3 linked regions of the Coturnix japonica genome follow. The protein of the gene in region 3 purifies or fractionates together with the protein of the main gene of each other region. This does not show direct contact. Links are inferred from orthologs where the notes say so. Each region holds a gene or a part of one and is shown on either strand. Other genes may lie near its edges. The genes, in order: EPS8, FRS2 and SOS1.

Evidence for each region.
Region 1: the proteins of SOS1 (region 3) and EPS8 purify together in Homo sapiens (affinity purification with western blotting; 5 studies listed by BioGRID and IntAct, with this or other methods). This does not show direct contact. The link is inferred for Coturnix japonica from reciprocal best matches to the Homo sapiens genes SOS1 and EPS8.
Region 2: the proteins of SOS1 (region 3) and FRS2 purify together in Homo sapiens (affinity purification with western blotting; 5 studies listed by BioGRID). This does not show direct contact. The link is inferred for Coturnix japonica from reciprocal best matches to the Homo sapiens genes SOS1 and FRS2.

The regions. Positions count from the first base shown.
Region 1 is NC_029516.1:57,733,680-57,737,427, reverse strand, and holds the start of EPS8 (epidermal growth factor receptor kinase substrate 8), read left to right. Parts: upstream 1-910; 5' UTR 911-1,206; intron 1,207-1,478; exon of another isoform or gene 1,479-1,585; intron 1,586-3,748. UniProt on the Homo sapiens protein: Signaling adapter that controls various cellular protrusions by regulating actin cytoskeleton dynamics and architecture. Depending on its association with other signal transducers, can regulate different processes.
Region 2 is NC_029516.1:32,187,330-32,190,977, forward strand, and holds part of FRS2 (fibroblast growth factor receptor substrate 2), read left to right. Parts: intron 1-80; 5' UTR 81-106; coding exon 107-172; intron 173-1,948; coding exon 1,949-2,135; intron 2,136-3,648. UniProt on the Homo sapiens protein: Adapter protein that links activated FGR and NGF receptors to downstream signaling pathways.
Region 3 is NC_029518.1:14,500,385-14,504,132, reverse strand, and holds the start of SOS1 (son of sevenless homolog 1), read left to right. Parts: upstream 1-934; 5' UTR 935-1,051; coding exon 1,052-1,138; intron 1,139-3,748.

The sequences.
Region 1 (3,748 bases), on a different chromosome or scaffold from region 3:
CAACTCCATTATTTTACAGGAGATTGTTCTTTTCCCTGCTTCCTGGACCCTCTGCTCCAGGAAAAGGAGCAAGCAGTGATGGTTCTGCCTTCACTGCCTCTGCAGGTGACTCACAGAGTGGTATGGAGAGCATGGAGCTGCCAAGTCCCATATCCTGGAATCAAATGGGAACTGCAGAACACAGCTGCTCTTTCCCTACCTTATAATTCCCTGGTATGAGTTGTTAAAGGGCCTGGAATCAGAGAAACTTTGCATCGGAAAAGACTCATCGCTGCGTTTGGGTAACTGCACTCAGTCCTGCTGTGGTGTTTGCATACTTTAGACATTAAAAGATTGATGCTCCTCTTAACCGTACATTTATGGGGAACTTGTAAGTCTTTCTAAGTCTTTCAGGATTGCCAATTCCACTGTATTAGGAACCAGGAACCCAACCTCAGAAGTTAGCTTGCTACTATACACAAAGGGAGGTTCTTTTTGCCTGTCATATAATCAGAATCATAGAATCATTTGAGATGGAAGGGATTCTTAAAGGCCATCTGGCCCAAATCCCCTGCAGTGAACACCCACAGGTAGATCAAGTTGCTCAGAGCCTGGTCCAGCCTGACCTTGAGTGTCTCCAGGGATGGGATATCCACCACCTCTCTGGGCAACCTGCTCCAGTACCTCACCACCCTTAGTGTGAAATACTTCTAACTCATATCCAATTTAAATCTCCCCTCCTTTAGCTTGGAACCACTCAAACCTTGTCCTATCACAACAGACCCTGCTTAAGTGTCTGTCCTCTTCTTTCCTATTGCTTTCCTTTAGATACTGGAAGGCTGCACTCAGGTCTCCCTGGAGCCTTCCTTTCTCCTGCTGAACAGCCCCAGCTCCTTCAGCCTGTCCTCGGAAGGGAGGACAGAAATTTTGGGAACTCAGTGAAAAGAGAGATCCTCAGTGAGCAGCCTGACTGTAGCAGCGGCAGAGCCTCTTTACAGAAGCCACCAGCGTAGGCAGCATTACAGCAGCATTACACGGAGCGTGTGTGCGGGGTTGTTCCACGTGTGAGCTGTCTGGGCAAGGGGCACGCGTAGCCAAATGGAAACAGCATCGATAGCCAGGAGATTTCATCCTCAAATGAGACTGAGGACGGGAGCGTGTTGCTCTCGCAGCCGACTCATCCCACAGGCGGTGTAGATACACCTATTTCCTTGCTTCGGAGCCTTGGTAGGTTTTGTGTGTGGCTTTGTGGCGATTCTGGCTAACGCTTAGTATGACTGGAACCAAGCCGCCTACCTCAGGCCGGCTCCGGGGGGCTGCTTTCAGTACCTCGGCATCCTGCGGGCGGCTCGCACGCAGCAACAGGAGAACGCTGCTGGCCGACGGCCGAGCCCGCCCCGGCCGCGGGCTGGGGCAGGGACTGTGTTCGGGGCGGGGCGGGCCGGCAGAGGGAGCTCGGCTCCGTTCCGCTCCGCGGCTGTTCCCGCTGCCCGCTCCGACACTTTGTTGGTAGCGCTGAGCCCCGCGCTCGGCCCCGCACCGAACCACGCCGCGCTCTCGGCCACCGGCGCCCCCGACCCTCCGCGAGGGAGGAGAAGCCCGCAAGGTAAGAACGGGCTGCCGGGGAGAGATTCTCTCGGGTCTCCGCTCCCCGCTCTCACGCTGCGGTCCTGAAATCCCCCCGGGCAGCCAACCCGGCTCCGTAACGCGGCGAGCTGCGCGGCGTTAAGCCATATGAAGGAGGATGAGGCTGCTCGGGCAGGGGCCGCTGGAAAACTCCTTCGGTGTGTGCGAGGCTCCGCGGCTGGGGACGGTGTTGGGGTTGCAGCCCTTCCGTCTGCGTGTGTGCCGCCGGAGGTGCCGCCGCACCTCGCACCTTGCCCGAGAACCCAGTGCGGGGCTCCCGTGTCCCCGGCGCTCGTCACCTCCCTCCCCACCTGCTCTCAGGTGGCCGTGCTGTCTCTCCGGCTCTCGTATCATTGTTTTCCACCTTTTAAGCTGGCTTCCCAGTCAGCGTTGCTGGGAGCTGGCGAGGAGCAGCTGGCGGGTGCGATAATCCCGTCGTATGCCCGTGTTTCCCGGGTGCGCTGACCTGCTGCCTTCCTTCCCCGCTCCCTCTCGCTGCGAACTTTCCCTGCCATTCTTCCTCCTGCTGCTCCTCTCCCCGCCATGACTCGCTCTCCTGTGCGCTGTGCACCAAGGATGACCTGGGCACGCAGTGGAAAGCAGGTTTTCTGGCATTTTGGTGAATGATTTTAGATGCTGTTGGCCCCCTGTAACACCTCTGTAGGGCCGGGTTATGATCATGAACACCAAGACACCTTCACTTCTGCTCAACCCTTGTCTCGAGCCAGCTGGCAGCAGGGCAGAACAAGTTTTTCATAAGGATATTGTTTGAGAACCAACACTCACACCCTAAAAACGTGCTTTGCATTGACTCGTGCTTCCTGTACCCCTCCGAGGTACAGGCGTTCTGCAGTGTGACCTTTGGTGGAGTCTGTTTACTTCAAGTGAAGTACTGGAGATAAAAATATTACTCCGCTAGGTTGTGTCTGCTGAAATATTAACTAAATGATGGATCTCAGGTTTCGTGGCAGTGTTGACTGTGTTTTAGCACAGCCTCTCCTTCCTTTTGTCATCAGAAATAGGGTTCTCCTCCCTTCCTATTAACCATCTTTCTTCTCCTTTGTGACTGCAATGGCTATGTCAGCTACAAAAATCGCTTACATGGAAGAACCTCCATATGACCATTTTTGTTGTTAGCAACTGGAAATACTGAATCAGCGTTGTGTGAGCAGTCCCTATTCCACAAAGAACCACTGGAAATTCTGCAAACAGAGCCCTCTAAGAAGTGGTTGCCTCTTAGACCATCCCTATCGTGGGCTGCTAGTTTCTTTCAATGAGTGGTGAGGGCTGCAAAAGAGTTTGTGAGGTTCCCAGGAGGTGTAGAAGATGCAGCATTTCTCAGCTCGATTCACAGCTCCCTAGTGCAGTGTTATTGTTAGCATACGGGTACCTCCAGGTAATGAGATACTGTGCTCAAAGGTCTGCTGGAGCTGAGCATGGCTGCTTTGTCTGGGGGAGGCTGTGGATATACGACCGGCTTTGGCCAACGCTTGTACTGTCACATACTCATAATGGTTGAAGTATTGAGTTTTGCACTCTTAGAGCTCTCAATAAATGTTTTTGATTGTGTGTAATTTTGAAAGCACTCAGAGCATCCCATTAGGTATAATTGGAAGGAGGTAGCAGCCCCACAGGGAAGAACACCCAATAGGTGTCTGTCTATTCATAGTGATAATACAGAGCCCAAGATTGTTCTAAAGACACTTCTATTGTGAAAAACACACCTTAAAAAACACCTTCCACTTGGTGACAACTGAATTCATGAAATACAATTGATTTTCTTTCTGTCCATATTCTAGCTGTGAATGGCAATTCACTCACATTAACTGCTATATATTTTTTCCCTTGTGGGTGAAAACTTATTAAAACCTAAACGCATGAAGTTGAATAATTGGTGCCCTGAGGGTCAAAATAGATCAAATATATAAAAACTTTGCTCTCCAAGTCTTCTGTTGTCTCACTACCGTAGCTGAAGACTGCACAGTGAAAGCTGCACTAATAAAGTGCTTGTTAACTTTGATTTCAGTGTCTAACACTTACTTCTCCTACATTTCTGTTTATAATTGCCAAGTCAGCCTTGTCTTCTAGACAGTGAATGACTGATCAAAGGTGAGTGGTTTCCCTGAAGAAGCAGCACTCAGCC
Region 2 (3,648 bases), on a different chromosome or scaffold from region 3:
TATATTGGGTTGTTCTGTTGATGGTGCTCATGTAAATGAACATGTTGGGTTTGGTTGTGATTTGTTAATTTTTACTTCAGAGATCACATGGTCTTCTAAAGAAGTCATGGGTAGCTGCTGTAGCTGTCCAGATAAAGAAACTGTCCCAGATAACCATCGAAACAAGTTTAAGGTAAGCACCTGATGTAGCATGCTGTCAATTGTTTTCTTGCTTCCTTGTGGAGTAGGTAGGTGATGGGAAATACCTAAATGAAAATAGGAGAACTGCCTGATGGGTCAAAGCATTGCAGACCTGCAGGTATCTGTGGCTACAGGTTTATCTTGCCCCTTTGAAAATCTTTTCTTAGCAGCAGTGACAGAAATTCTGTAGACAGACCGACTTTCAGTCTTAAGGGTGGAGAAGCAGCCTCATGTTTTTGGTACAACTCCATGCATTTTGTAGAGCCCAGTTAAACACCGTTACTTCTAGGAGGTTGCGGACCATGTGAGTTGAGTAAGAAACATAACTGGGTAAGTATGATAATAAACCTGGAAGTGGGGTCAGCAATGAAATATTATAGGACTGCAGATTGTACTTGAAGATCACTGTGAATTATATCATTTGGAGAACATTTGTTTTCCTTAACTTAAATAAGCTTCATGTATGTGTGCTTCTATCCCTTGTCTTGCTGGAATTTAGAAGCTTGTGAACTCTTGTTCATGTGCTTAACAACAAGAAGCTACTAAAATGAGTGCCTTTAAGTAAACATACCTTTGCATTGTCACACAACTCAGATCTGCTTCTGTGCTCTGAACTTTCTCTCCAAGTTGGCAAAGGAATGTAGAGCTTCCATAGTGAAAAATGATTCATACGTTGCCTTCGGGCAACACTGAAATGAGCTTTAAAACAATGGGAATTTCTGGAAACGTTTAATATTATCAGTACAAAAAGCTGAAGGATAAAATATTTTTCTGTCGCCTTGGGGTGTTTTGTTTTTTTTTTTTAATGTATTTGACATCACTTTGTGCAACAAGTTCCTCTTTTTCTCCTGGTAGATTTTCTCTATTGTTTGTGTGGTTCCCTGATTTAGCAGCAGGGGGGAGAGATGAAAGAATGTAATTTGCAAAATGAAGCAATTTGTCATAAGCTTCAGTGGCAGATGAAACTATTTCTAGTTCTTTTTAACTGACTAGATTTCAAGTAAAAAATGCCTCTTTAAGGGGTAAAATTAATTGGTACAATAGGGAGCTCTTTGTAACCTTTTTACTGAATAAGAAAGAATTCCGCTACAGGCAGCATTGCGAGATAAAATACCTTTGGGGGAAAGTACAGTGTCAGAATTCCATAAAAGAAGCAGACCACCTCCAACTGGTGGAAGAGCAGAAGGAATAAGCATATAAGCTCTAAATGTAACGTGTTTTCACATAAGATAACCATAGGATATGTGAATTATTTGTTGACATTACACTGACAGACAAAACAATCTAAAACAGTCTGAGCACAGTGCAAGGCCCTACAGGTATGTGAAGGAAGCTTCATCTTATAGCCTCTTCTCAGTGCTTTTCTCAGCTGTAAGTGGGGTTACATGACAGAGTAAATAATTTTTTTAGAAATGAGACTTTGAAAGATTTAATTACCTGAGATATCCCCGTGTAAATACTAGAATGTGTACGTAGTGTCAGTTTGAAACCTCATTAACCTTAAATCTCTTCTATTTTAAGTATCACCACAGATTTTGCGATAATGTTTTATATTCTCACTCATGTTGCTTTTAAAATATGTGTAATTTTAATTCTGGGTTGGAAGAGCAAAGGAACTGGTTTGGTGAGTTTTTTTCTCTTAAACTTTACCTAAAGGATCACAGCTCTTATGATGGAGCAGATAGATGCATTAGTGAAACATTAAGATGATAATAGTAGTACTGGTGCTCAGTTACTTACCTAATGTTATTTAACTTCCTTTCTGTAGGTTATTAATGTGGATGATGATGGTAATGAGCTGGGTTCTGGCATAATGGAACTTACAGATACAGAACTAATTTTGTACACCCGTAAAAGGGACTCCGTAAAATGGCACTACCTCTGTCTCCGTCGCTATGGCTACGACTCAAATCTTTTCTCTTTTGAAAGTGGTAGAAGGTGTCAAACTGGACAAGGTATGTTGAATTTTTGTATAAGGAGATTTTCAGAAGTGTATTTGATAGCTGACAACTTGTTTAATCATTATTATGTACTTCCCTGCCCTTTGACAATGGTTATAATGGACATAGTTTTATACGTGGATGCAGTTCCTGGAAAAAAAAGTAAGTGGAATGGGCTTATGGTAAAATGAGAATTTGAGTTGTTCACAGTTTTTGTTCTGGAGCACTTGGTGTTTTGGGGTTGATAGCTCTGGTCAGCTTAGAAGGTTTTCACAGGGAAGTTTCCCTGCCATTGGAGTTTGAGTTGGCTTTCAAGGAAGGGCAAGGAAAGCTGGGGCTGTTGAGGAATCTTTTCAGAGCACAAAGTTTGCTATTTTTTATATTTTTAAGAGTCTGAAACGCTGGAGTGAGCTGGTTATGCTTACCTTATTTTCATTGTCTTCAGCATCACACCTTTGTTTCAACCTCTTCTTGAAACTAATATCACTTTCATTTGTATCAGTGACATAGTTCTCAATTCTTTTCAAATTTTATATGAAGACTGGAAACTCCAGCTATGCCGACTTATCATCTGTGTGCCTTTGATCAGGAAAAAGTCAGTTTCCTTTCCAGCCCTCAGATCACCCCCATCTTGGCCAAGACAGGCTTTTCTGTTGCTGTTTGTAACAGCAGGCCCTGATGGAGGAATAGCTGTATTGGGCTGAGGTCTGAGCCTTGTTTTGCATCTTCATGCTGTGATGCAGCTCTATGTACTTGGAATTCTCGTGTATTGATCTAGTGTGTTATTTGAGTTCTTATTTTCTTAGAGATTTTCAGCATGTGGTTGTATCTCTTGTAAATCACGTTATTTAGCAACGGCAAAATACTTTTTAAATTCACTATTAAGTTAGGAACAGTAACAAACTTGATCCTAACCAAACTTGGTCAAACTTCATTGTCAAAGCAGCGGTGAGGGCAGACAATTAATTTACAGTAAGAGTTTAGAAGGCATTCTTGATTCAGCTCCTAGTGAGAAATTGAGATGCTTTTAAATGTTACAGAATACTGTGCATTAAACTAAACTTTCAGACTTCTGAGGAAAAAAGTGTGAACTTTGGTTTGAAAAAATGCACTTAAATGGATTTTTGCAGGTTTAATTCACTGCTTCATTTAAATATATGAAGTAGATACTAATAAAACTCAATTGAAAGTGATATTTTGGAGGTTCTTTTCCACAGCCACTTACCAAGTCTGCAAGCTTTTTCACTGACTGTACAACTCTCTCTACCCTTTCAATTTCGTTTGCTTTTCAAGAGAAGATTAAGTAGACTTTGTGAGCAGCAACCCTTTCTTCCCTCTTTTGTTTCTTGCCTTCCTTACATAATATTAAGTACTGAAGAATACTGCTCTGCCATTTTTACCAATTGTACTAGTCACTGTTCTTGTTGTTTATTTCTTAGATTTGTTATTATTATTGGTTTTGGTCTGTTGAGGTTTAAGTATCTGGTGCAAATTTTTTTGGAAGTACAGCAAAAATGAAATGTAGGCT
Region 3 (3,748 bases):
CCCTCTGAAGCAGATTAAACCTGAAGGTACAATATTCTGCAGACAGCGTTAAATGAGGAGGAGCTGTTTCTTTCCTTGAGGGCAGAGAGGCCTTGCAGAAATATCACGACAGATTAGAGGGCCGGGCAATCACCAGCAGCATGAATTCAGTGAGAGCAAGTGCTGGATTCTGCAGCTGCGTTGGGCAGCCCAAGGTCTGTGTGCAGGGTGAGAGGCTGGAGAGCAGCTGTGCTGATAGAGATTGTGGGGTTCTGGTTGGTGAACGAAATTATTAGTGCCCAAGGGAGGGCTGCAAGGATGGACAAAGTCCTGCAGGCCAAAGCTGTGTGAGGAGCGGCTGAGGTTTGCTCAGTGTGGAGCTGATGGGGGCTGATGGCGGCTGCAGCTCCTCACAGGGAGCGGAGGGCAGCGCTGAGCTGTGCTCTGTGTGACCGACAGGGAGCGGCACGATCCTAAAGAGCAGCGTGCCCTTCCAGCTGCGACAGGTCGGTGTGCCTGTGTTTCCATAGAGGTGATGGACTCATTGCTCAGCACACCCCGCAGGGGCCGCCCGCTCAGTCCCGGTCCGGCCTCACCCGCAGGCGGCGCGCGGGAGGAGCGTTGCCGTGCGGTCACCTCCGACCCGGAGGCCGCGGCGGCGGCGTCGGTGCTGCGCAGTCGCGTTGCGGTCGTTGTGTCAGTGCGCATGCTCCGCGCTCCGCCGGTCGGTGTGTGGCGGTGTCTCAGTGCAGAGCGGGAGGCGGCGGCTCTCGCTCCGTGCTCCCGACCCCGCCCCTCGCGGCCCGCGCGCCGCGCCGCGTGACCCCGCTCCCGCCGCCCCCGCGACCTTCCGCGGGGCGACCACCGAGAGCCGGGCGGGGAATGCGGCAGCCGCAGCCTCCCCCCGCCGCTGCGGGGCTGCCGGCGGCGGCGGGGGGCCCACGGGCCTCCTGCTGAGGGGCGCCCGGCACCTCCCGCCGCGGCCTATCGGCCTATCGATCCTCCGCGCCGCGCCGAGCCCGGCCCGCCCTGCCCTGCCCGCCGCCCCTTGCGGGCCGGGCCCGGCGGCACCATGCAGGCGCAGCCGCTGCTCTACGAGTTCTTCAGCGAGGAGAACGCGCCCAAGTGGCGGGGGCTGCTGGTGCCCGCCCTGAAGAAGGTGAGGGGGGAAGTGGGAGCGGCGCTCGGCCCTGCCGGCCGCACCGGGCCTTTCCCCGTGCCTTTCCCCGTGCCTTTCTCCGTGCCGCCTGCAGCGGGGGGTTGGGGGTGGGAAGCGGCCCGGCCTCTCCGCTCTCCCCGCTCTCCCCGCTCCGGAAGCGGCCCGGGGAGCGCGCCCGGCCGGGCCCGGCGGCGCTGTGACAGCCGGGGCTGCGGACACGGAGCGGCCCCGGGTTGAGCCGGACCCGACGCCGACGTCTCCCCGCCGGTAGGATCCGGTAGGACGCCGTCATCCTCGGGCTGGTGGAGCTGACAGGCGCGGACCGACGTTGTGTGGAAGAGGGGAGGAACGGTGAGCGCCGCTCCGTCCTCCTGCAGCCGGGCCCGGGAAGTGCAGGACGTGAGGAACGGGGCTGTCTGACGCTGCCGCCCGGACCGGCCTCGGGTTGGCAGCGGGGGGGTGCTTGGATGCACCGCAGTGCTTTCTTATGGCTGCGTGTATCCATAGCTGTGAACGGCAGCTGTTGGGTGAAGGACCTGCTCCTAGGGCCGGGTGACCTCTCGTTCCCCATCGCAGTTTGGAGGTCTCAGGCACTGCAGTCGTTCCACTGCAGCATTTCTTCCCAGTTTCCTCTTGTGACATGTCACCCTGTGTTTTGGGCCTGCTCTTTGAGCCCCATCCAGTTACTGGAAGTCTTCTCACTTGTCATCCCCGTAGCGTGCTGTGTTTGTGCTTCAGTCCTTCTTGGTAGTCACTTCTTTGGAAGCACACAGCCGAGCAGACTGTGCGGCTCACAGCTTCTCCCTGCACCTCTGTGTGTGTGTGGATGGCCACCAGCTGGGGGCTGGAGCCACCTGCGGCCTCCAGGCACCTTCCAGAGGAGTGAGCTTGATCTGGGCATTCTGAGGCATGACAGTTTGTCAGACTTGGAGCAAGGGTTGATGCTGAGTAATGGAGAAGAACGCGAACTGAGGATCTCAAGGCAAAATTTAGCCTGGAATTATTCTTTGTGTTGGGAGCACAAGATCTCATCCTAACGAGCAAAAGACATTCACAGGGACACCTTGGATTAAGAACGCTTGCTGGAGGAGCTGGATGAATTGTTTAGGTGAAAGGAAGAAGAAGGGTCAGAAGTCACAAACAGCAGCCTATGGAGATAAGCTTCCACGGGTGCCAGCTGGGCCCATGAGGTACAGTTGTCTCGGTTTCATGGTGTGGTGTTCTCTGTGGTAGTGGGGCAGCTGGGCTGAGGTGGAGTTAGTTCTGAAGCTCTGATGCTCAGATGTGTGACTGTCGAGCAGATGTTAGTGCTTTGAACCTCTGCTTTCATGAGGTTTACACCTGTTTCTTATCTCCTCTTGTGCTGTTGCCCAGCATGCTCCAGTAGTGTAGTCCTCTGGTGCTTCCTGCTCCTGTCCCCATAAATACAGAAATAAAGAACCCATCCGTATTGTCACCTTCCTTGCTGAAAAGCCAGATTCTGGAGTTACAGGAAAACCAAATGACAGATGAGAACATACAGCTGTTGTCTTACTAGCTTTTTCATTAATTAAGAGGCCAAATGGAGCATTTTACTAACTTAAACAGGTACAAGTTATCTTGTCTAGTGTGCTTAGTCCTGATAACAGCCTCATAAAGTAGCAAACCTATCCTAAGCATCAGGTGCAGCCAGGAGAGCTGCGGTGTGCTTGCTCTGACAGCTGTCTGTTGTCTCTCAGGTGACAGGTGCAGCCCTGCAGTGGGTAGCTCAGGGCTGTCCCCATGCTCTGCCTCTTAGAGCAAGTCACTCCTGGAGTCTGTGTGTGGGACCAGTAAAACAGAGAGAATGTGGCAGTGAATGCCAGCAAGACCAAAGGGCAGAACCTTCCCAGAGGGAGAGCACTGTGTGCCTTTGCTAAATTGCTGCAGCACGTGCTCTCTGTGCTCAGGTTATCAGGTGCTGATGTGCATCCCGTCATGAACCAAGGAGGATTTTCCCTTCTTGCCTCCATTGAGCTGACCATGCTCTGATGCTCCTGGGTAGTGGATAACGCTTCTGAATTCCTCCTTGAGACCTGCTGGGTACCCAAACAGGATCATTGCGTTCTTCTGCATAGCTGGAAGAAAGACTTGGGAAGACCTATGTTGAATTACCGTTGCTGATTAGGAGAATGGTGTTTAACGTTGAAGCATGTATACCAGCGTGCTGCATTCCCAGCTGTTGGGGAAGGCTGCCATTACTCTTTCGTAAATACATGTTGGCTTGTAACGTGGAGCTCGAACAGCACCCCTAGAATCACTTCCTGAAAAATAGGTATTGTTGAGCAATTGCAAAGGGTTTTGTCTTTCCCAATGACTTATTTTGATTCTGTGCTTTTTGTTACCAAAAGCAAGCGTGTAGTAAGTATAAATTGCTTCTTCTGTCAATGAAGCCTTACAAGCATGTGCCATGTATTTCATTAGACATGGGCCTTAACAATGGAGTCTGTGCTGCGCTGTCTTTGCATTCAACAGCTGCATTTGAAAAAAGCAGCTTTTGTACCATTCAGATCATAATGTAATCCCTTTTCTTCCCATTCTCCTTCAGATCCTGTCAAGATAGACTTCAGTGCACTCAATTAGGAGGGAAAT